Drosophila melanogaster: one gene and its partners. The protein of the gene in region 2 interacts with the protein of the main gene of each other region in a pairwise test. Each region holds a gene or a part of one and is shown on either strand. Other genes may lie near its edges.

Region 1 (5,567 bases), on a different chromosome or scaffold from region 2:
TCTCCTGGTACGTGGAGCAGTGCATGTAGTCCGCTTTGCAGCTGCCCAATCGGGTGCTGACCAATCCGCGGTTCTTGTAGTAGGCATCCCAGTTCATTAGCTCTTCCACCGGCTTCTCCTTCTTCTCCACCGGCTCTGGCTTGCACTCGTACTTCTCCATCCTGGCCGGTTAGCAATCGATATAGGGTCGTCCACGAGTCTAAAATTTTTCTTGCACAAATAATTTTAAAAAAGCGCACGGGCTACGTCACGAGAATTCACATAAAAGTAAGCAATTTATAGATAACTTGAGCCTGAAGCGATCGACCTGAACTATCAATAGAGAATGAGCTGTGTTCAAGAATCGGACTGTAATGACCAGGTGAAGTAGAACTCACGGCATCCTGGGTTACATAGAACCACATTGGCATAGAATGACATACCAACACATTGTTTTAATAAATCTATGACTATGACTATGTTATTCAATTCATGCCAAAAGGGATAAAACCAATTCATTTATGTGGAATTCTTGGAATGCCGAAACCGTCATTTATTTAAAATGTAAAGGCTATGTATACTTGTGATTGCTAACATCAATGCATTTGGACTCCGCCACCATGTCAGTTAGACTTGTGCCAAGGTCTGTTTAGTGGGGTTGGATCGAACCTCCGGGGATCATCGTAGCCACCGACATTGCGGAAGGGAAGCTGCTTGCGTGGCTTCTTCTTGGGCGGATTTCGCAGGCGCGGCTTCGGTGGATCCGCGTGAACGTCGCCCTTTCCGTAGATCCATGGGAACATCTTCTTTCGCTCGCCCATCACGCATCCGCCGTATTGGACGAGCATGTTGGCCGGATGCGGGTACATGGTGGGAGCGGCCCAGTCGTGATCCACGTACTGGGTCTCCACGTGCGCTCTGTCCGGCTGTCGCACCCGTTCGGGCTTTATGACTCCCGCCGGAGGAGTAACCCCAAACTCGTACTCCCGATCGCTGTCATCATCGTCGCTGTTTGGGGAGTACACGAAGGTATCCGAGTTGTTTGGCCAACCACGCTGGCGACACTCGTTCTCCACCTCGTACTGAATTCGCTTCTTCTCAATGTGACTCCGGCAAAAGCAACTGGCCACCGGCCGGCGACAAGTGCAGGGGGCAAATCCCTTGTCCTGAAGATTCACTCTCATCTGGCGGAGTCCTGCTGCCATGGGATCCTTGGTAATACGAAAGACAACGGGCTTCATATCCGCATAAGGGTTGGCACTGGAGGCCAGGGCCTTGGGATCCTTTAATGGACGCAAGGTGATGATGTACTCATCTCCCTTCCGACTTATGTGCAGCGTTGGATGCTGCACTAGTGGCTCCTCCAGCTCCTCGACCCTGCGGCACTTTTTGTGTCGGTAGTGGTAACGCGAAAGGCAAATATTATCCGCAGGAAAGTCCTTTAGAAAGTAGGACATTAGTTGTCGGATGGGTCGAGAAATGGCTCCTGGGCGCCACGACTTGTGGCGCGCCATCTCGCTTTTGGTCCACATCCAACCCATGTGACAGGGAATCCTGCTGTAGCCCGTATGCTTGCTGCCCGAAATGCAGTCCAGATGCCCGATACGGGAGTCTTTGGATACCGTCTTCAGCTTCAAGAAGGTGTAGCTGCAAGATGAGAGTCTAATCTATCTGAACGCAATGTAGGTTTCATATCTCACCATCGGGACTTTTTGTGGTGGGTGCGCTCCTTCTTTATCCGCATTTTGGCTGGCTTGGGATAGGCCTTGTCAATCTCGTCCAGTGTCTTCTGCAGCGCCTTCCTGGCCTTCCTGCGGGCCTTGGCCGACTTGGTGTTACGGCAGGCTGCATCGCACTCCTTCCTCAGCTCCTCGGCCACCACGTCCGCCTCGTTGGCTCCCTTCTTCTTGCCGAACATATTCCGCATCTCCGTGAAGATGGAGATCAGTTGGGTACGACGAAGTGATTCGTCCGAGTTGGCTTGGTTCACCTTCTTGCTTTCCGGTTGTGATTTGCTTGGAGCTTGCGGATAAGCCTGTGGGAGTGGCTCAATCTTGCACTCATTTTCCTTAAAAAAGTTGTCGCAGAGCTTCCGGATGCGGCATCGAGTGCAGGGTTTCCCGCCCAAGCAGCCACATTGCTGCGGAACATTGGGATCATCCTTGTTCTTGTCGCCCATGGCTTCATCATCACCTTTGGACGGGTCCAGTTCACAGGTCTCCTTGCGCAGGCAGTCCCTTAGCAATTGCTGGGCAGTTGCCGTAAGATCGTAGGGCTGCTCGCTGGGCTGTATGTCCTCGAAGGTTTTGTAGCCACAGTAGGGACAGGCGGAGATCTTGGGCAGCCAACTGATGTCCGAACGGCAGAGCTGGCAGAGATTCGGTGGCTTGTAGGCCTCCTGTGTTAAAACAGGCTCTTTTACAGGACAGGTGCCCATGAGTCTTCGACGAGCAGCCCGCTCCATGGAGGCAGTCAAGGATATGGCCTTTCTCTTTCTAGGAGGCTTTTCCGCTGTGAACTCATTGGTGTCACAGGAGGAAGTATCTGTGCTGGAACTCGGCTGCTTGCACTTGCAATGCCAACGACGGGACTTTTCGTGTGTGTCTGGAGGACTGGGTACTTTTATCTCGTCTAGACCCAGTTCATCGACGAGCTTCTTCAGAGCGGCCTTTTCTCTCTTTTTCTCCGTGCCAACATCCGGAGGTAATTGCATTCCTTTCAGGAAACACCCACATCTGGCAAAGGCACCGCCTTTGTTATCCTGATCCTCCTGATTCTGACTTGCGGCGTGTGGACATTGGAAGGGTGCTCCCGCGTGCGACATCAGGCGCTCATCCGTGATGCAGCTGTTCGTTGCACACTTTCCGGAGCGTCCCAGGGTGAAGATAATATCCTTTTTGTTGATCGAATGATCCACAGGCTTGCACACGTCATAGCAGCCAAAGGGAATCAAGCCGTGGCTAGAGAGGATTGTGATTTAATAGGAATACTACATTTCCCCTATCTGGTTAACACCACTTACTTTATATCCGGTGAAGCGGAGCTGATCTTTAGGAGTAGCTCCACCTCACCCACTCGGTCGTTCTTAGGCCCTTTGGTCAGTTGAACTGTAACACTCTGGGTAACCGAAAAGCTGGGGTCTGTCAGCTGGCGCAGGATTGAAGATTCCAGCGTGGCGTTGCCCGATCCTATGAGCTCGTCGTTCTCTTTGAGAGTGACGCCTACGCCCTTGGATGTCAATGCTCCTATTAGCTCACAGGGACTGCTGGTAAAGCCACCCAATGCCTCTGTGGGAAACTGATCCACGAATATGCGTTCCATGGACAGCTCCTCAAAGTCCTCGAACAATCGAACCGAGTAGACGGGCCTCCCACCCGCACTGAAACTGGCGGACTTGCGGGGAATCGGCAAACTGGAGTTCACAAGGATAACGTCAAAGACATAGTACTGCGTCATGTTGATCTTCTAGGGAAACTATCGCTAAAACCAAGTTAAAATTTTCTTTACTCTCTAAAGATTTGGCTAAAAACTTATTTAATTTGTTCTGATATAAAACTCCAGTCTGAATAAAATCGATGTGTTCAGGATCAGAAATGACAATAAAAAGCTCAAAAACGGAGAACTAGAGCTTGTCAAATCGATAATGTATCTAAGGCCACTTGGGTTCAAGAATTCTCAGCCTGTTCATGTTTTGAGAAAAACTGAATAATATTTTGTTGATTTACTAACCATAAATTACTTACTAAGCTAAATAACTTATCAGCTACAAAGAAATTGCCTTGTTTAGCTCCATATTTGCCAAACTTTGTGCACAATCTTCGAACACTTCGATTAGAAATGAACTCTGAGTATAAGTATAAAGTATAATAAGTACAAACTGTTTTCCTTTCTTATCTCAAGTTAAGCTATCTTATGATGCATTGCTTCTTCTTGAAGGCTTTTATGCAAGATATTGTCAAAAACATGATGCAAATGATTTGATTCACTTGTTAGGTAAGTGAATACAATGATTGCCTCGATTACTCAGTTGGAACTCATATTCCAAATATTTGCCATTTCGCATGCTTATCAGAAATTAAGTAATAACTTGTTCGGTTTAAGGTCCGCAGAGGTGACACATATATGTACATATGTGCACACAACTTTGGACACCTTGTCGTTCAACCAATCGCTCTAAAAATAGCTGAAATAGTCTTGCAAAAAATAAGACACCTGTTTGGTTTGGTATATAAGTAAATGAGTAGCGCATAATTATTGCCTGAATAATTTAAGATTTACACAATGGACTACTATACGTTCAACAACAAGGATGTGAGTAGCATTCTCGCAAGGTAACTATGAATTTGGAACTGCACTTGGTGGTGACAACAACTAGGTGTGTGCGTAATGCATTCGCGCGCAGGAGTATGGAGTCCTGCCCTCCAGTGCCTCCTTCGCGGGCAGTTCGCTGGCCGAAAGCGATCTGATGCTTGAGATCGCGTTGCTTACTGCCGGGCGTTGATGATGTCCACGAACTCGGGCTTCAGGGAGGCGCCTCCGACCAGGAAGCCATCTATGTCGGGCTTCTTGGCCAGCTCCTTGGCGTTGGCGGCGGTCACGGATCCACCGTACTGGATGCGCAGGCTGGCGGACACCTCCTTGGAGATGTTGTCGCTCAGCCACTGGCGCAGGAAGGCGTGGACCTCTTGAGCCTGCAATTGGGAAGGGAAAATATCAGTTCTGGAAGAGATTAGCCTCTGCGGGCGACCTTACCTGATCGGGTGTGGCGGTCTGGCCGGTGCCAATGGCCCAGACGGGCTCGTAGGCCACCACCACGTTCTTCCAGTCCTTGATCTTCTGGGCGTAGGCGCACATTTGGCGGGCCACCACCTCGTTGGTCTTGCCGGCCTCGCGCTCCTCCAGGGTCTCACCAATGCAGGCGATGACCTTGAGGCCCTCGGCCAGGGCGTGCTCGGCCTTCTCGGCGATCAGGGCGTCCGATTCGCCGAAGATGGCGCGACGCTCCGAGTGTCCCAGGATCACCCAGTCGGCGCCGATGTCCTTCAGCATCGCAGGGGAGATCTCGCCGGTGAATGCGCCCTTGGCCACCTTGTAGGCATTCTGGCCGGCCAGACCCAGCTCGCAGGGCAGCAGGTTGCGGGCGTACATCAGGTAGATGGCCGGGCAGCCGATGACCACCTCCGTGTTGGGGTCGAGGGCGGCCGAGCTCAGGGTCTTGGCGATCTCGGCGATGGACTTCTGGTCGCCGTTCATCTTCCAGTTGCCTCCCACGCAGAACTTTCGGCTCATGTTGTTGCTGTTGCTGTCGGTGCAATCGGTGCTGAAATTGGCGTAGAACTGCGGATCGGGGGACAAAACAAGGGGACTGCTATTAGAGTGTTTGGAACTGATAATTTCAAGTGGGTAACTCGATGACTGGAGGCTCGCCGTCGACTTTTCCACTCAGATTTTTCCCAGATTCGAGATTAATCCCGGCACAGAGCACACACCCACCTCGAAGTTCGTCTGCTTATGTACTAACCTTCTTTTGACCTTCGTAAGTCTTCCACTGGCACTTGAAAAGCTTTGGGAAAACAGCTGTGAATTTG
Region 2 (4,807 bases):
AGAGAAAGTTGTAATTGTTTTGGAAGCGCAAACAAAATAAAAAGTAAACTCAATAATAAATAAATGAGAGCAAACTTATTCATCAAATATGAAGAGTGCTATGTAGTATTAAATGCAGTTTTTATCGGGACTGGTTATGAACTTTGTATTGTATGCACATAAATAATCTTGCGATATAAGCACAAGTTCGTATTCGCAATAAAAGATAAGCATAAAGAATATCATATACACTTTTGGGAGACACCTTTACGGTATATTTTTACATATATAGAGTAGACGTTGACTCACTTTTCGGACACGATTTTCTGATTCATAGACGCCTGGATCGAGTTCTCTAATTCGCGATACCCGTACTCTCACCTTGCTTACGTAACTGAGACCAGAGATAGCCGACTTCATTAGTCATTTATAATTTTTTATCAAATTCACCTGCACATAAAGTTTCCCTTGCTAATCTAATTATCAAATGGGGCAAGGCTACTAATTTATTTTTAAATTGCTACAAAGCTTTTCTCACTAATTTCTATCGTAAAAAAAGGCCCCTTTGTTTTTTTAATAAAGCAATTATCATCTAATCGATAAGTGACGCTTTGATGTGGATTGGTATGAGATTAGAAAGTTTGGGGCTCGAAAAACAAATCCGTAGCACGCAAATGACCATATTTTTAAGTTAACTGACGCGTGTGGAATTGTTTACAAAAAACATCTGTTAGGACACACGTTTTTGGTTAAATAGACTTTGCGACATCGACGCGGTGCCTATTCTTTGTCTATTGTTTGGCGTCATCAACTTGAAAACATCTCTTTAGATAAGAAATTTTGCACGCGCAAAATAAAAAAAAAAGAAGAACGCCAAATGCTCATTGATAAATCATTGGCAAATCGAAGGCAAAAAAACAACAAAGTCGACTTGTCGAAAGAGGAAGTCGAGCATAAAAACATTGAGAAAGAAGGCAAAAATAGGCGGAGCAAAATATTTCGCGTTTTTTTGTATAATGTAGCATGCGGTTTTTCGTAGAATTCTTAACCGGTTTCGGTACAGTTTTGTATTTGGTTTATAGAGCCGCACTAAAGATTGTTTATAGACAAAGTGAATATCTCCTACACATTTTCCCATACCTATACATATGTACTTTCGGACATTATCGACGAATCCAATCTAGTCACATGCCGTCTGTCTTCTGGGTTCGAAATCAAATTGTTGTTAATGACTTTGCGCCGCGTGTGGCGTCTCTCCCACTAAGTTTTGCATTTAAAAATAGGAATTATTGTAGGTCTACACCGGGATTTTCCTTTGTCTATGTAGGGGGTATTCTCACAATGGACGTACCATTCGATTGATCGCCCTGGATAAAGGTGTTTTTAACTTGAATAACCATTTTATACTTATATACTCATATACATAAATATATTCTCCTATTGATCACGGTTTGGAAACATTGTGTTTTTCACTATACTCATCCGATTTGAGTTTTTATTTTTACAGACTCGTATTATTTCCTGCCCATTTAAGGCTATTAGGCGAGTGTGCGACTATTTTGCGCAGTTGAATGAGCAGCATATGAATCTTGATTTATGCAAAAACTGCGACTTGCGCTTCAAGACACTTTTCAATTGTCTGGCTTACACAATAATATATAAAATACTCGAAATAGAAACAAAGGCGTGTTTGTTTTTTGTTGTTGCTGCTTTGGCTTGCGTGTGCGCTTTGGTATTTCCATTTATTAAATTTGTATGCATACCTCCTCCTCTCTCCCAAAAATGCGAAGAGATGAGCAAAGAAGAAGGGGCGAAAGATAAAGAGCAATAACCAAGTTGCACTTGAATCTCATTTAGGTACCGAGTTCAAATCCGTTGCGGGTAAAAAGAAAAAAAAAACCAGTTTACTTGGAAGTGCGTGGGATTATTTGACACCCTTTGTGATCCCTTTTTTCCTGCACTTTGTATTGTTTTCGGTTTTACAATGCATATTGAATAGTTCGTCGGAAAAGGAAACTTGCAATTTGCTTAAATGGCTCGTAAATTGATTTTCTGTGTTGGTTTTTGCTGTTGTATCGTTTTTGAAAACCAACAAAGCGTAAAAAAGGTTCACGCAATAAATGAGTAACGAAATGCAATGCAAAAACGCCTGTTTCCTATTTCCAAAATACAGTGCTCTATGTTTTTTGCTTGTAAGTTGTAAACATATTTTTGTATGAAAATCTAGGTGCACATTTATCACTTTGGTACAGTGGATACCCTCGGTCTTCACAATTCACCGAATCGGGTATGCACTGTACCAACAAAAACTGCACTGCAAAGAAGAGCAGGTGATAGAGAGAACTAGCAAGCAAACCAAAAACAAAGCAGCCTGAATATTGTTATTGTCATTAAAATACCGTTCCATTCAGTGCCAGGTACGAAAGAGAGAGGCATACAATGAGAGAGAGAGGGGGAGAAAATAGGAAGGACAGCAGGCAAATTGCCGAAGGAAAATCACCTGAATTTGGGGATCCAGCTCGCCGTCTTCTGCACTCGACATTTTTACTGGTTTTCACTGAATTCGTTCCAAATGCAAATATATCGCTAAACGCGTTAATTTTCACTTTTCTGCAGCCCGCTTTTCAATTGAAAAACGCTTTTGCATTTCACTATTTGATCTCGTTGCTACACAGACACATCCCACGACTATCAATTTGCTTGTGTGTTTTGTTTTTCTTTTTTTTTTCTGTGTTTTTTTCTATAATATTATGTAAATTGGTGTTGGCAATTTTAACTGGCAATTTGCTATGCGGGTACAGCAGCAGTATTAAAACAAATATTTCATTTTGCGTCTTATGTTTCACAACGAAGTTAAAAGCGAAAAGGGAAAGGGACACATGGCGATTACATTAAGTGTGAACAAGACGAACGGTACAAGTGGACAGGGCACGCGGCTTTTCACCTTCTCCTTCGCTCGGGGCATCTAAGATATTTAATTAACTCGCTTATAAAGGCTAAACTATCCTAAAAATTAAAGACGCGTCCAGACGCGACGAAATGAGAAGCTGAATTCGGTGTGACCGCAGCGCGGTGTTACCAGATAGTGAAATGCTGACCAGCAGTTGCTGAAATAAACATTTGGTATTTTTATTGTATTGGTATATTTCATTACAACGCTGGCATTGTTGCCAACTATTTTCAAGAAAAATAAACAATTAAAAAAATGTTTGATTTTCATTGCACCAGTTTGATAATGTAACAATTTATATTTAAAAAAATGCTAAGTTAACATATTAGTCTTCAAAATTACTCTTGGCGGGCTTGGTATTTTCTCTTACCATTACGTCATATGCCTCATCTACATAACCATCACATCACGTTACGTAGTTGATTCACTTCGTAACGTTATGAATAATTAAAAAAATTTTGTTTCAAAAAGGATTTTTGTTAAAGTTGCTAAATACGTATTAATGAAATATAAATAAATAGGTCTGACTAAGTAACAAAATATGCATTAAAACCAGAAACATTTTACTATGAAAGTTTACTTTATTTGTTATTTGTTTTCATCATTTTTGTTTTGCCCTTTATGTGCTTTACATGTTTGTGATTTTTTCGTATTTAATTTGTTTACTTTTCCTTATATGCGTTTATAAATCGAATACTCCAATTTCCTCTAATGATATGCGCACCAAACATATTTTTAACTGAGCGCAATTAACAGAAAACCGAAAATACTCTCAAAAAACAAAATTTTCACTAAAAGATTTTTATTTATGTAAATTATAAAGAAGAAGGCAATTCAGTTGTATACCACGGAATTTCATACGTTATTCAGCATCAATGCCCGATTAAACATAATTTATAAAGATGGATTCGTTTCCTTCTTTTATTTTTGATTTCTTAATTTAACGCTAATATAAGATTTATATTTTATATAATGCATCTTTTTACTTTGTATGGAATAACACTTAATTATACATTCATTTCATATAGTTTGATTTTAGTTGTAATCATAACAAAAAGAAACATTTCTGTGCAGCGTGATTTGAAAAAAATGAACAAAGAACTAAGGTACAAAATTCTAGAATAATACAATTTGAAATTGTCTGAATGGGATCTTTAAATAGTAGTTCTTGCCTGACTTTCATTGTGTTTGTTTAAGAGTGTGCCGTGTGGTTTATTTGTTGATTCCTCCTCTGTCGTATAGTATCAAACCACTAAATACTTGTCCATATAAATGATTTCGTTTAAATATTTATTTATATATCGAATTATATATATTTTATGCTATATAATAACTATGCAAGTTCTGCATATATGCATGTTGCGCTTCATTTACCATTCTTTTACTTGGTTATTTTCATTTTGTATTGTTAACACTCATAGTTTCGGGAATGGGAGGAGAGTTTAGGAAAAGTACAAAAGTATACATGGTTTGTCCAAAGCTTTTCAGTTGTAGTTGCTTTTTACTACACAGTGTGCATATCGAAATGATACAGAATACGATCCAATATAAATGCTTCTCCACACGCAATTGGAATAAGAAATACAAAAACAAATTGAACTTAACTAAGTTGAAGTACATAAAACATTACAAGATACACCACAACTTCTAAATTCAGCTACACTACGATTTGTTGTTTGATTGGAGATTTATTCACTGTCTATGTTTAGGCCCACTCGCTTCTCCTCCTCCAGCATGGCGTCCAGCTCGTCCGTGAGATTGGCCAGCATATTGCCAATGTCGTTCAGAACGTTCACCGAAACTTTGGGCGGAACGCCGTTGTTTATGGCCACAGTTGGTACGGCTGCTTCTGGCGAACTTGCAGGCTCCGCCGTTGAT
Region 3 (4,885 bases), 1.2 Mb from region 2:
TCAACCAGTTGACCGGGATGAGCGGCTGGAAGCGTTAACAGATCCACACATTTGGCCAACAATTGTTGCCCCCGATTCGAGCTCGAAGTCACTTTGTTAGTTGGTTAAACTTCCGCACAAATGCAACCGAAGTCTGGAGGAGATCGAAATGGGAATGGAAATGGAGATGGAGCCGGGAGACGACAACGACGACGATGACTGCATCCGCAATGCAACTTTCTGTGTGAGATTTCCGCCTATTGCAGCTGCAACTGGCGACGCATCTGGTGGCCACATGGGGGTTTCCGGCCGGAGGGAGCGGCTCCTCCAACTTCTGGCGCATCTTCGGTGTCTGAATTTATTACGAGATTGCAAATCTCCACCGCGATTACAGCAATTATGTGGCTTTCGGTAGGAGGTTGGCACATTGCCCGAGGAACGTGCCCAGAGGTGTGGAATTAAGACTCTCGGCGGAAGGGGTAAAGAAAGTGATGTCGAAAGCTCTGGTCATGAAAAAGAAACGATTTTATAAAATTGATAAAAATTATATGTATTCATTAGTAAGCTGGGAATATTACCCCCCCCCCCCCCTTGCTTAAATATTAAGTATACGCCCCTGGTCGCTTACATGGCTCTCCTCTAATAACTCAATTTCAACACCAGCAAAAACAAATGTGAAAGTGCCAAAAGCCGCCTCCCCCCCTCTCTCTCTCACTCTCTTTCCCGTGGTAACCACCAATCATAGCCAAAAATCCCCAATCAGCTCAGCATCTGGCCCAGGTTTCGATGCACTCGAACAGATAGTCCGACCTCGCCACTCTAAGCCGCTTTAAAGTCCCACCATGGGCTGCAATAAAATAATATAAAATGAAATAAAGATAATTTGTCAGCTACTTCATTTGCGGCAGCGCGTGCGTGACTCGCGGTTGCCTGTTGCATAATATCTGCAGTTGAACTTTCCCAGGGGTTAGCACTCTCTTACCCACCAGTCACCACATCACACCAACCAAGGGGTATAAGTTCTATAAATCAAATATAAATATCAATATCAAACTTATAAATATATAAGTTCCTATAAATCACATAATCAGGCTGGGCCAAGCCTTATAGGAAATGCGTGGCAGTGCATTTCACTTGTTGCCATTAATAAATTAATTATACAACCATGACGGCACTGAGCTCAGTTTTATCCCCAGACGCACGCACTCTAAGCCCTCGTAAAAAATAAAGAAAAATGCACACAGATGGTAGGAAAACTTGTACATTTCGTTGTCATCAGCACAGCAACAGCGCATATTGTGCAAATGTTGATGGTCAAAAGTTGGCTAACGCCTTGGCCAAAGCCATGGCCAAAAAAGCAGCTCGAAATGCAGCCAGCTAAAAGACAAATATCAAGTGAGTGGTGAGGTTTTCAATTTTCAAAAGTCGAAAAAGAAATGCTCTGTTTGAAGAATATATATATCAAATATAAAGACAACTTTAATAAACTCTTAATCATTGGAATTTATAAAAAATGTAACAATTAATATAGGTAAAATCATTTTTGGCATCGTAGCACCTGTCTAATTTCCATTTATCCCCACAGATTTGGAATGCAAATGAATTTCCCCGAATAAATTGCAAATTCGACTTCCTTCTGAGCGTTGCAAATTTAATCAGCAGCTTATTATGCCCCACACATAAAAAAATAAAATTCAAAAAAAAAAGAAGGAGGAGAAAAAATATGGAAAATGCAACAGCAATACGCCAGACATGGCCGAGTCTTTTCGGCAAAGGCAAAGGAATGGAAATGGAAAATGGGAAAAGCGAGGCAGCGAAAAGCGAGCCAACAACAAACCGGCTGTCTCCGTGAAAACTGCGCGGCCCCGAACACACACAAAACTCAAGTGGCGCGAAAATTCGAGGCACAGTTGCAACAGCAGCGCGCAAGCGTGCGGTTTTCCTCCACAGTTTTTCCAGCCAAAAGTAAACAAGGCAAAGCGAAACGAAACGAAACGAAAACTCAAATTAAAAGTCGCATTAAATAAATGAGAAACGAACGAGGACTGCGACGAGCAAGTTTAAACAAAGCTCAAAGACAAAGTTGAATGAATATAGTCAAAGTTTGCTTTTCTCCGCAAAGGATATGAGAAAATCATTTTGTAAAAAAAAAAAAAATATAAAGAGCTTGCATTACATTTAACCAAAGTGCTGGCTAACAAGGATATAATATACCTTAAAATAAATTAAATCAAAAAAATATAAACGCATCAAGTTAAACGTCGAGCAAATTAATGAATATTTTACTGAATGACAAAAGTGAAACTTATAAGTGAAACATCTAAGGACGAATAACGAAAACGATTAGTTAGATAGTTAAATTTGTTAAATTAGATTTTATGGTCTTGTTTTATCTCAAAAATCTCTTAGTTACTAATGAAAAAGATTTTGGTAAAGAATATAAGATCAGAAATAATTCTCATTAAACATAATTCATTCATTTGTCATTCATTTGATTTTCTAAGAACAGGAATTTTTGAAATCGCAGGATACTATTTTTCTGCCTTCATAGTTTTAAAAAGTACTCATTTAACACAGCCTTTGCAGATGTGTCATCTGTTAAAGTACCATATAATGATTTTTGTTTTACTAATTTGTTAATTATGATGTTTCATAATTATGGGGAAATGTTTAAAACAGTTAATATGAGAATTTGAAAAGCACTTTTCGCAATTAGCTGCTGTGATAGTTAACCAAACTGAACGAATACTTTTCCAGGTCCGACAAACAAACAATAAGGTTCAACGCTGAACAAACTCATTTACAATTTGTATTTAAAATACCAAGACGGCGAAAAACAGCGTGGGAGAATAACAGAAATTTCAACAACAATTACAAATTGAGCTGCCACTTTTGTGGAAACGCGAAAAGTGCAACGTGCAACTTGACGCCTCATTTGCCCGAACTTCCGCCGACATCCAAGGAAAATGGAAATGGCTATCTGCGGCGGTGGCATCCCCACCTTAATGGTAAGTACATGGGGTCGGTTCGTTTCGGGTCGGGTTCATCATTCTGAAATTTTAATATAAATAACCGACAACTGCAAGGGCCATCGAGGCGTGAAAACAACAAGCGCCAGTGGAGAGACTTCGAGCGAAATTTCTGGGCGTGGGCCTGGGAAAAGTGTCGGCCTTCGATGCAGCGATTTTCATTTTCTGGCCAGGAAATGGACGCGGCCAGTCACTGCATATGGCGGGCTTCTTCTCATTTTCCTGGCGCACGCACATTTCGCAAGCAATTTATTTTCATTGCACTTGAACTTCAATTAGCCCGGAAACCAGCGAATACTGGCCAGACTTCGTTTAATTACCAGGCATTAAAATCATAAAGCGTATTCCAAAGTATCTTTGCTCAAAAATTCGTTATGCAACTGGCATTGATTGTTTGTGCTTTTTGGCCAAAACGCTCTCCATTTTATGACCCCGGTCTTTATGAAGGCCCGCTGTGGTTATCTAACCGAATCGACATTGGAATCCATATCCAACTGCCGGGACGAAAGGAAAATGCACCAGCAGCATTTGCAATCGAAACTGGAAATTTGCAATTTAAGTGGATGGAAAAAAAAAAAAAAAAGTTTGCGACCATTGCTGGCATTTCTTTTCAGCCAAGTTTCCTTGTGGCCCAGGAAGCACTCGTACCCCCAGCACTTTCTAGACCCGTAAAGTCTTTTATGTGCATTGAACTTGACTTTGCCGCCGGTTTTTGGCCAGGGCAAAAAAGACCAAACTGGTTCTAACTGCCACGGCCACTGCAGTTGGTAACTACCCACGTTGCACCACCCACATCTCACTGCCACATTAACAATTAGCCCAAGCTGTGCCTTTTGCCTGCCTGCTACCATTTCTTCTGCTGTCTCGACTCGCTCTCCGTCTTGGTCTTGCTCTTGGTCTGGAACTTAGTCTTGGCCCTGGGTCTTGGCCCACTCCACTCCACACCATACCACTCGTCTGGGTGGCACGTTTTTCCGGCTTGTTGCATACAACAAGAGACGATGCCGTAAGCGCATATTGCAGCCAACAATTAAACAAACTTGTGGCCAAACAGCAATTACAGAAACCATTTAATGAAGCAACCTGCTCGACATGAAAGAAAGCGAACGAGAACAATAAAGTCCAGAGGGAATGTGTTTGTATTGATTGGGTTAAAGACATGGAACTTTAGAGAAAAAATTATAAATAAATAAAAACATACACGAATCCAAAACTTAATCAAATCAAACAAAAGATAGTGATTTAGTTTATATTAACCCAAAACGAATTTCCACAAAATAAATGATTTTTCTAAAACTAATTGAATGCTGATACAAAAAACACCTTCTGTTTGCCCACTGAGATGTTGATTCCCTTGTAACTAAGAAGCCAGAAGATGATCAAAACTAATTGAATTGCTTTTACAAGTTTATCACCTCCATGCCATGCTGACTTTTATTATTGGTTATTTGTCTTGAAAAAATAAACCGAGTACAATAAAAGCCAGTTCAGCACTTTTAAACTGCCAGTACAATAAATACAACTTGTAAACAGCTGTAAAACTCGAAAGCCAAATGGTAAAAACGTAATTTAATCAAACTTTAGCTCTCGCAGCTCTCGCTGCAAATATTACAGTTTCAATTTCCCAAATAATGTCAAAACAAAAGAAAACTTTTAAAACGCCATGCAGATAGTAGTATTAGAAGTAGGAGTAGAAGTTGAAGTAGTAGTTTCGCTCCTTTTGCCTCTCTTAGCGGATCGTAAAGGAATTGTTAACTAGTTTTCGCAGCACTTCTAATGCCATAAAATCCGACTGAGCAAACTGAAACGAACGCAAATAGCAACAATTTTTATCGCTTCTTTGCATTGAGTTTTCAAACGAATCTAGCGCGTGTCCC

What was found. Proteins that work in one complex are often made in the same cells at the same time.
Region 1: the proteins of pcs (region 2) and CG31029 interact in a two-hybrid assay, tested with the Drosophila melanogaster proteins (one large-scale study listed by BioGRID).
Region 3: the proteins of pcs (region 2) and Cpr50Ca interact in a two-hybrid assay, tested with the Drosophila melanogaster proteins (one large-scale study listed by BioGRID).

What each region holds. Positions count from the first base shown.
Region 1 is NT_033777.3:30,128,779-30,134,345, forward strand, and holds CG31029 (uncharacterized protein), read right to left. Parts: upstream 3,618-5,567; 5' UTR 3,436-3,617; coding exon 3,002-3,435; intron 2,940-3,001; coding exon 1,680-2,939; intron 1,627-1,679; coding exon 603-1,626; 3' UTR 501-602; downstream 1-500. Other genes in the region: Ppi1 (protein phosphatase 1c interacting protein 1), read right to left, coding at 1-160; Tpi (triose phosphate isomerase), read right to left, coding at 4,464-4,670, 4,732-5,316, 5,501-5,567.
Region 2 is NT_033778.4:14,979,496-14,984,302, reverse strand, and holds the start of pcs (parcas), read right to left. Parts: upstream 3,041-4,807; 5' UTR 2,522-3,040; coding exon 2,480-2,521; intron 1-2,479. Other genes in the region: ckn (caskin), read right to left, coding at 4,618-4,807.
Region 3 is NT_033778.4:13,768,030-13,772,914, forward strand, and holds the start of Cpr50Ca (cuticular protein 50Ca), read left to right. Parts: upstream 1-1,885; 5' UTR 1,886-1,944; intron 1,945-2,736; 5' UTR 2,737-2,945; coding exon 2,946-2,987; intron 2,988-4,885.